Chlamydomonas reinhardtii: one gene and its partner. The protein of the gene in region 2 binds, or shares a complex with, the protein of the main gene of each other region. Links are inferred from orthologs where the notes say so. Each region holds a gene or a part of one and is shown on either strand. Other genes may lie near its edges. The genes, in order: CHLRE_10g465900v5 and CHLRE_06g255450v5.

Region 1 (4,553 bases), on a different chromosome or scaffold from region 2:
TGTCGGCTGACCTGCCTGACTACCAGGCGCAAACGACGGACCACACACGCCTCTCACGGGATTCACTTTGGCCGCTGCGGAAGCGCCCACCTCCGCACGCTCTTGCATTTGCCGACCCATATCCACATAGAACCAAGTCAAACGCTAACGGTATGTCAGTCGTAGCGGGATGTGACCCGCAACTATTAGCCCCACCTGCCGTGAAGAATAAATGCCTAGTCACCGCATAGAAAGTCCATTTGCACGCCGCCGTATCCGTATATCTCCTTGCAGCAAACAATACGCCCCTGAGACCACGCTTGCGCCAGCAAACCTATGTCCAGCCTGCCCGCGCTCACACCGGCACTTTCAGCCAATATGGCACGGTTCTCCACCACATGAAACCACCTGTCGCTGCACGCCGGCACCGGTGCTGCTGCTCATCAGCGCATCACGCCCATTCCGCCGCCCATCCCTCCCATCGCCCCCATGCCGCCCATGCCACCTCCCATGCCGCCCCCGCCCGGCGCCACTGCGGCCCGCATGGTGTCGCGGATCTCGTTGAAGTAGGCGTGCTCCATGGCCGCGCTGGCCGTGATGCTGCGGGGTAGCGGTGATGGGTGGGAGGAGGTGCTGAGCCATTCCGTTGGTGAGGCAGTTTTGAGAGCAAATCCAACGGCATGGGTGACGTCAAGCACGCACACTGCACATCAACCTGCACACGCAACCATACCGGCATGCTCTTTGAGACACGCCCGTGGGACACGCCCCACACTTTTCCATATACGTGCGGTATGGCTAACCCCGGCCCACATTCCTCCTCACCGGTGCTGTGGCGTGTACACCAGCATGCGCGCCAGCAAGTCCACGCCCTCGGGGCTTAGGGTTGGGACCGCTGCCCCCAGGTTCTGGGGGCGCCACTTGGGGAAGGTGTCCTTGAAGTCGGGCAGCGCGCTGCAGCCCGCCCACATGGCCTCATCAGGAGTGCCCAGCAGCTGGAAAATCTTGTGCAGCTGGTCAATTTCCTGGGGGAGGGAGGCAGCCAGGCGGGGATGTGTGGAGTTATGGAGTGCGCGGTGAAGCCGAGGCGCGCCGTTGCAAAACACACCCATCGCATCACATGTGGTCCTAGCCTACAGAGAGCAGCCGTGACTGCGGCTCCCCCATCGTGAGGTTTTGCGCTCCAGCCAACATGCCAGTCAGCCCGCACGCACCGAGTCGCCCGGGAACAGCGGGCGGTGGTTGACCATCTCGGCAAAGATGCAGCCGATGGACCAGATGTCCACGGGGGTGGAGTAGGTCTTGCTGCCCAGCAGGATCTCGGGTGCGCGGTACCACAGTGTCACTACCTGTGATGGGGGTGCGGGGGCGAGCGCGTCAGCAGCACCAAGGCAGAGTTCGGCATCGGGCATCGGACGGCGCCAGTGCGATGCGCACATAAACCGAAGCGTCGCTGCGCACTTGGCAGCCTGCGAGTGCTGGTGCCCTAGCAGCAGCAGTTGCTGGGTGGGCGATTGCATCCAGAAAGCGCACACACTCCAGTGCCCAACCCTGCATCCGCACCTTGCACCCAAGGCGCGTGCGGCCCTTCCCGCCTCAACCTCTGATACCGCATACTAGACCAAGCTCGGCCAGCCGGCCTGCCATCTCCTGTCCAATCATTACGCTGTCCTGACATGTCCCAACCCCCGTCACGCTGCGCTGCCACCTCCCCGTCAAGCCGCCCCGCCATCTCCCATGCCCCCGTCACGCCGCCCTGTATTGTCCTGCGGCTTGGTGTCTTTGGTTTCTTACTAAAAATGGTGAAGATAGACCCTGCCCTTCCCACCTCGTGCGTGTAAGCGCGCACGGGAATCCCGAACGCGCGCGCCAGCCCGAAGTCCGCCAGCTTGAGCGTGTTGCGCGAGCGGTCGATGAGCAGGTTCTGCGGCTTCAGATCGCGGTGCAGGATACTGCGCAGGGCATTGTAGCATGTGGCAGGGCAACGATGGGACGTGTTGCATGATCAGCTAGTGCTAGTTGATGGCGACGCAGGTGGGTACAGTCATGAGGTGCCTCCACCTGTTCATGTGTGATATCCCTCACGTGCCTGCCAGTTGCCACTCACCGCCGCGAGTGGCAGAAGGCGATACCGCTCAGCATCTGCCACATGTACATCTGCACGAGCGCGCAAGGTTCTGGTCACGATCCAGATTTATCCAAGATTACCGACGGCGAAACCCCATGTCGCACTCTTCCCACCCAGCACGCACCCAGCTCCCACCTGCGGCGCTTCACCCGACGCCCTTTTGCCGCCACCTGCCCCCGCTTGTTTTCCCGCTAGCACACCTTGATGACGCGCTGATTCCGGCTGAAGTTCGGCGTCTGGTCCATCTGCTTTTTAAGGTCCAGGTCCAGGAATTCGAACACCAAGTACAATCGGCGGTCGCTGTAGAGCACGTCGTAGAGCCTGTAGGGGGCGATATCGTCGGGCTCGAGTCCTCTTATGACTGCCCACACGTCACCAGCGCAGAGTGTCGTGCGAAGACTGCTCACCGGACAACATTGTCGTGGCGCAGCTCTTTAAGGAACGAAATTTCCCGAATGGCTGTGCTAGGCACGCCCTCATCCTCCTGCTCCAGCCTAATTTTCTTCAGCGCTACAATTTCGTTGGTGTATCGGTCGCGAGCTTTGAAGACGACACCATAAGTGCCCTCTCCAGCCCGCTCGAGCTTCTCATACTGCGCACATTTCAAGGCAAGCATGTAAGCGAGTAACAGCAGCCGCGAACTCCCCTGGAAGCCTGAAGGAGGAAGAGCTGCCGATTCCGCATTCAAGAGAGCGTGCCGCACCTTGTCCATGATTAGGCCCCCAGCGCCACCTGCAGGCGGGCCAAGTGGCCCGCGAGCAACTGCGGCCAGTCTTGCTGCGCCTCCGACCCTCACTCGACTTCTAGCAGGGTGCTCTCCAGGTTACTGGCCAGTTTCAGGGGCTTGGCATGCAGAGGATCGAGGTTAAGGTGTTGTTTTCTGCTAAACACGCGTTATGGGTGACGCTTTATGTGCAAGGATCGCTGTGCGGGTACCTGGACGACTTCGCGCCATTTCAATCGTGAACTGATTTTTGTTTCCCACCTTACCCATAACCATGCCAGTCCAGGCTCGACTATCATAAAGCAAACAGCAAGTTTCAGCGTTGAAAGCTTTGCACTGGCCGTGCCAGTACACAAACTCAAAACTTGCCCGCTCGTTTCCTCTTCTCGGCCGCACCCTCTCCTCGTCGTCCGCCCGTGACGCCTGCTGGTCTAGCCCCTCGAATCACCTCACGTAGATGACTTACGTGCATGTTGACTAGTTCCAACACTGCTTGAGGTGCTGGAACGAATGCGGGAGCTGTAGCAGCACCTACAGCAGCTACTCAGGACCGGTCAAGGCTGGGTTCCCCCACGCGGGTACCACTCCGGTCATTTGCTGTCCCCAAACTTTGACAGCCTGATAGACCCCACAGGAATCATCTGTCAAGGCCGCCAGCATACCCGCGGCTTCGTCTCGTTGTGGCTACTAAGGTCACCATTGCCTCACTCAGTAGTCTGAGCAAATGGCTCACAGCGTCAGCACCGCGGACATGCCACCTACTCCGCGCCGCCGGTCCCACGCAGCTGCCCTTCTCCAGGCCACCCAACCAAGCAACCCTAGCAAGCACCACCGCCCCCGCCGCCTGCCGGGCCTTGATTTTGGCTTCTCTAGTCGGGGCGGTACTTCTCGTGGCTCTTCTCCGCGGGCAGCGGGCGGTTGAAGCCACCCTTGCGGTTCATGTACTGGCGGGCGGTGCGCAGGGACTTGGTGCGGGTGCCGCTCAGCTTGGCGGCCTCGTCCTCCACCTCCTTGCCGGCGGTGGTGTCGAAGGCAAAGGGAATGCCCATCGCCTGTGGTGGATCAGGGGCGAAGCGGGTGACGGGAGGATGGGCGGCGTGTGGTGGAAGTCGCTGTGCGGGGTGGACGCTAGTCGCAGCTGGCGTGACCAATGTACGGTACCGGTATGCGACTCGTTTACCCATGCCAGCCCCCGCGCACCCACTTCCCCGTCCCCAGCACTTACGCCCCGTTCCGTTTACCGCGCGCTGTCACTAGCAACCACGGCCGCAACCCCACCACGCCCGCCGTAACCTCCACACCTGCATCATGGCAATCTCCTCGGGTGAAATGTCCGCATCCAGTGCCACAGCAGGCGCCTGCTCCTCCTGCCGCCGCGGCTCCTCGCCGTCCTCCATGCCACCGCTCGACCCGCCCCGCCCGCGGCTCTTGCTGCTGTGCCGGCTCTTGTCATCGCCGCGGTCCCGGTCCCGATCGCGACGGTCACGGTCACGCCGGTCGCGCGAGCGAGAACGTGAGCGGTCGCGGTCACGGCGCTGCGAGGGTTCGGGCACAAGTGCGTGGCGACTTCAATGCTCCGGGTGGCAACTGGTCGTCCTCCCTCGCGGCTTCCCCGGTTTTCCAGTCCGCACACACACGGGCAGACGCTGGCGGTCCTTCCTCCAGCCGCTCGGTCTCACTTGCCCCGCCCAATCCCAGCATAACCCCAGCACACGGTGGCCG
Region 2 (4,330 bases):
CCACTGCCGCCGCAGCTGCGGCCACTGGCATGGGCGCCGCTGCGGCTGCGGCCGCCGGCGCAGGCCTGGCCGCATCTGCCGCCGTGGCCGACTCGGAGTCCTCCCGCCTCTCCCGCGCCGCAGCCTCCATGCCCCAGTCTCCCACCGTCGCCCCCGCTGCGAGCTCCTCAGCCCCCGCAGCAGCAGCCACGGCGGCCTCGGCCACAAACGACGCGCCCGAGGAGGACACTGACCTGGCCAGTCGGCTGGCGGCGCTGGTGGCGGCGCGCCGGCTGCCTGTGCTGCTGGTGCACGGGCTGTACGACAAGCTGGTGCCCGCCTCCAACAGCCAGCGCCTGGCGCGCATGCTGCCGCCCGACTGCTGCGAGCTGGTGCTGCTGGACCGGTGCGGGCACATGCCGCAGGAGGAGATGCCGGGGCTGTTTGTGGACCTGGTTGCGGAGTTCGCGGCGCGCGTGCAGGCGCGATGAGGCACCCTAGGGCGGCGGAGGCACGAGCCGGGGGGCTTTGAAGCGGCCTTGGAGCGGTTGCGGCCAACCTCCCACCATTGCGGCTCATGTTGTGTAGCGGTGGGGCGGTGAAGGCGGATGCGGAGTTGCGGACGTGTTGTGTCAGGTGGGAAGGCGGGTTGGATCGGGGGGTTGCAGATACCAGGGGATGGGGCGTTGCTGCTAGGCAGGTAAGGCGTTGGTCTCGTCCGAACCAGCCTTCGTAGGGAGCATTTAGTGTGACTGCTGTATGTCGAGAGACAGGCGCTCTTGAGATCAGTGGTGCTTTAGATCTTCCTGGATTTCCTTGCACACGATGCTCGAGGATTTGTTGGGACGTTACATGATTGCTGCTCCAGACATACCGTAATAGCGCTTCTACTGAAGGCGTAGGTTTCGGCCCAGCTGGAGCACACCATGTAGGTTCGTGGGTCTGTAGTCATTGTTGAAGTGTAGGAAGGAAGCCAGACTGTGCGGCATCCTTAAGCTGCTGCCTGACAGTGCTGTACGGTATCAGACGCGCGGTGTCCATTCCGCATTGGGACATGTCCATTCCATTGGTATAAGTTCAAGCCAAGCGTGTACTGCACACGCATGGACCTGCTCCCAAGTGCAACCAACGGGAGAGACATCGCATCAGTGTAACCGAGAGCAAATCATCCAATAGCCCGCTTACGTGTGGGCTCATCCACCGCTCACTGATCGAACAAGACCATTCTGCATTTTGGATGACCGGATATCTCGCGAGTCAAACTAATTAATGATGATAGCATTCGTAGGTACACCGGCGCTACTAAGTACTACCGATTCGGCCCTCCGCCATCCGCGTCACACCGTCTTTACACCGGCACATCTGCAATGCGTAACATCTTTTAGGTGATACACGCTCCGCGCATCGGGATACGTACTTGCAACCCACATCCGACAACAGCGTCACACCAAGCCGGCCTACACTATTGGGGGAAGCCAGATATGTGGCGGTCCCCTCGCATGCATAAGCTTGGTGGAAACGCCATTTCAGTTCCGTCGAGTACTGTTGCCCCCTCCATGCCCACGCTGTGCAACAGGTTCGCTGGTCACGGGTCTGAGCACACACGGCGGCAGTGGGGCCCAAGCCGTGGGCACAATGCAATGGTGGTCTGCGATTCCCTCCCATCATGCGTTCTCAATCTCTGTTTGACAGTGGGGTGTGCGTAGTCATTTTAGGGTATCCAAATGAATGCGCAAACAATGCGTCAGGCGGACTCAATCCCAACGCATGCCTCTAATCTTTGCAACCGGCCACCATGCCGGCGGGCTAGGAGAGTGAAGATCCGGTGGCCTTGAATTGAAGAAGACCTGAAAGAAACATGCACGAATCCAAAACTATATCTTCAATGCCAATTCCTTGCTTTCAGCATTCCCAGAATGATGGGCTCAACACCTTACACCTCCGGCCGCGGTGCTCAATCCGCCCCGTACCGCCGGTTCGGCGTGCGCTGCCGGCGGCCGGTGACAACGGTCTGCTGCGAGAACTCCGCGTCCATGGAGGCCTCGTCCATGTCGTCGCGCGCCTCCGTGTGCCGGCCGCGGCGCTCCCGACCCGTGCTACGGTCCCGCGCCGTGCGACCCGATCGCGTGACGCGCGCCTGCGGCTGCTCCTCATCGGCATCGACCTCCTCTTCCTCTTCCTCCTCCTCGGCGCCGTTCTCCTCGGCGGCCTTCTGGCTGTCCAACGCCTGCAGCAGTGCGGCCAGGCCCTCTGGAATCTTATGCTCAGCACTGCCACGGCCACCGCCGCGGCCGCCACTGCCACCACGACCGCCGTTGCTGGAGCGGGAGACCGGCACGGGCCCCGTCGGCGTGGGGTGGCCGCTTCCCTCGCTGCCCTTGGTGGGTGAAAGCGCGCCGCCGCCGGTGCTGCTGCCGGTGGGGAGAAGCGGGTGCAGCAGCGGCATGCCCAGCTCACGCTCGCCGCCGCCACGCGCGTTGCCGCTGGCAGAGCGGCCAAGCATGCGCGGCGCCGCCGCAATTGCACCCAGCAACGGCAGCTTGGGGCCCCGCGGCGACTGGCTCGCGCGGGGTGGCAAGGGCGGCAGGCCCGGCGGCATGGCGGAGGTGGCGCCGACGCCCTGAGCGGGCGCGGCGCCGGCTGCCGCGCCAACGGCATTGCCGCTGTTGCCCGCAGCGGCGTGCTTGCTGTCGCCGCCCAAACCGGGTCCGCTGGCGCCCGAGCCGTTGGATTCGCTCTTGAGCAGGAAGTTTCTCATCGCGGGCACAAACACCGCGTTGTAGAAGCCGATGATGTCGGCGCGCGACTGGATCTGCAGCGTTGGCAGCACCTGGTCGATGACGACCGAGCGGAAGATCGACTGCTGCGCCTGCGGCTGCTTGCGGTACTGCGCGATGATCTCGCGGAAGGAGACCTGCGACAGCTTGTGCACCTTGCAGTAGCCGTACAGTGTCGACAGCATGATCTGGTCGATGTGGCGGTTGTAGAACAGGTGCGTCTGCTTGTACAGCGCATGCTCAATGGCCTCGTACACCTACGGAAGACGCCAAGGGAAGAAATTGAGTCGAATAGCTCGCCAGTGCGCGGGACGACGCCACCACTTCAACAACGCGGCCCGCCCATACTCCAATCCGGCAATATTCAGAGCCCCCGTAGTCACCCACCTTGCTGTTGACCTCGGGCCCCTCTAGCGGGCTGAAATCGAAGTTCTCGCACAGCAGCGCCAGGCGGAACGACGTGAGCTTCAGCACCTTGCGCAGGAACTCAAAGAGCAGCCCCGCCTGGCCCTGCGCCGCGCCGGCGGCAGGAGGGAAGCCCACCGCGTTGGGCAGCGACTCGATGTAAGACTGTGTCGAGTGAGCGCCGCCGTCCGTGCCACGGGCTGTACGGAAGACAAACAGGCAAAGTTAGGGCGTGATCGCTAAGTGGCATGGACGTGACACGGATGCCGGACGCACACAACGTCTCCTGATGATACTGCTACAAGCATTGGATGCGCTCCATAAGTCAGTCACTCACCCTTCTTGGCCGGCGACATCATGCCCGAGAACGCCACGCCCTGGCTGCGCTTTGGCGATGGCGGCGGCGCATGGCTGGCCGCCGGCGCCGCGGGACTGGCAGCAGCCGGTGGTGCAGGCTCAGCTGGGGCCGCAGGGGTCGTCGACGGTGGCGCCGAAGTCGCCGCGCCCGGCGCACCCCCCTCTGCCGTCTCCATGGGCGGGGCGCCTCCCGACTGCTCCGTATTGTGGGATGATGAGGCACCTGGCTGCTCCGTGCCGCCATCCGCGCCGCCCTCCGCCGCAGCCGCCGCGCCCGCACCGCCCGAGGAGGATGACAGGCCCGCCCGGCTGCCTGCACCGTCGTGCTGCGAGTCGTCGCCTGATGCCGCCGAGCAGGCTGCGGTGGCCGCCGCCTCCTGCATGGCCGCAGCTGCTGCGGCGGCCGCTGCCTCGTTCTCGGTGTGCACGTTGACGATCAGGTGGTAGAGTGACGAGCCCGGCTCCCAAGCCAGACACTCCAGGATCTTCTCCTCGATCAGAAACAAGTGGCGCTTGAGCTCACGCGGCAGCGTGGCGATGCTCTTGACGAAGGTGCCGATGATGTTGGCCATGTCGAAGGCCTTGATGCGCAGCGCGTCCAGCACCTGCAGCGAAGCGGCGAGACCCCTTTGTGACATGCTCAGAGACTAAAAATGCTTTCCATGCCTCATGCATTTCCATTACATGCGCGTGACCCAACTTCCCAACAACCCAACAGTCATGCGCACATTGGGAAAGGCGCAGGAGACCATGCGGTAGCAGGCCGCCACAACCTCAATGCAGCAGGCAATGAGGCCGCGCTGGAACTTGGC

The links.
Region 1: CHLRE_06g255450v5 (region 2) and CHLRE_10g465900v5 share a complex: the UniProt entries of both Arabidopsis thaliana proteins name them as parts of the DREAM-like complex. The link is inferred for Chlamydomonas reinhardtii from reciprocal best matches to the Arabidopsis thaliana genes RBR1 and CDC2.

The regions. Positions count from the first base shown.
Region 1 is NC_057013.1:6,429,888-6,434,440, forward strand, and holds the start of CHLRE_10g465900v5 (uncharacterized protein), read right to left. Parts: upstream 3,076-4,553; 5' UTR 2,820-3,075; coding exon 2,811-2,819; intron 2,700-2,810; coding exon 2,515-2,699; intron 2,429-2,514; coding exon 2,308-2,428; intron 2,137-2,307; coding exon 2,087-2,136; intron 1,932-2,086; coding exon 1,808-1,931; intron 1,329-1,807; coding exon 1,194-1,328; intron 1,005-1,193; coding exon 805-1,004; intron 580-804; coding exon 423-579; 3' UTR 1-422. Other genes in the region: CHLRE_10g465950v5 (uncharacterized protein), read right to left, coding at 3,701-3,883, 4,133-4,366. UniProt on the Arabidopsis thaliana protein: Involved in the control of the cell cycle. Essential for both G1/S and G2/M (mitosis) phase transitions. Functions in cell morphogenesis as well as cell proliferation.
Region 2 is NC_057009.1:939,769-944,098, reverse strand, and holds the end of CHLRE_06g255450v5 (uncharacterized protein), read right to left. Parts: coding exon 4,247-4,330; intron 4,124-4,246; coding exon 3,499-4,123; intron 3,362-3,498; coding exon 3,144-3,361; intron 3,014-3,143; coding exon 1,934-3,013; 3' UTR 625-1,933; downstream 1-624. Other genes in the region: CHLRE_06g255500v5 (uncharacterized protein), read left to right, coding at 1-470. UniProt on the Arabidopsis thaliana protein: Key regulator of entry into cell division. Acts as a transcription repressor of E2F target genes, whose activity is required for progress from the G1 to the S phase of the cell cycle.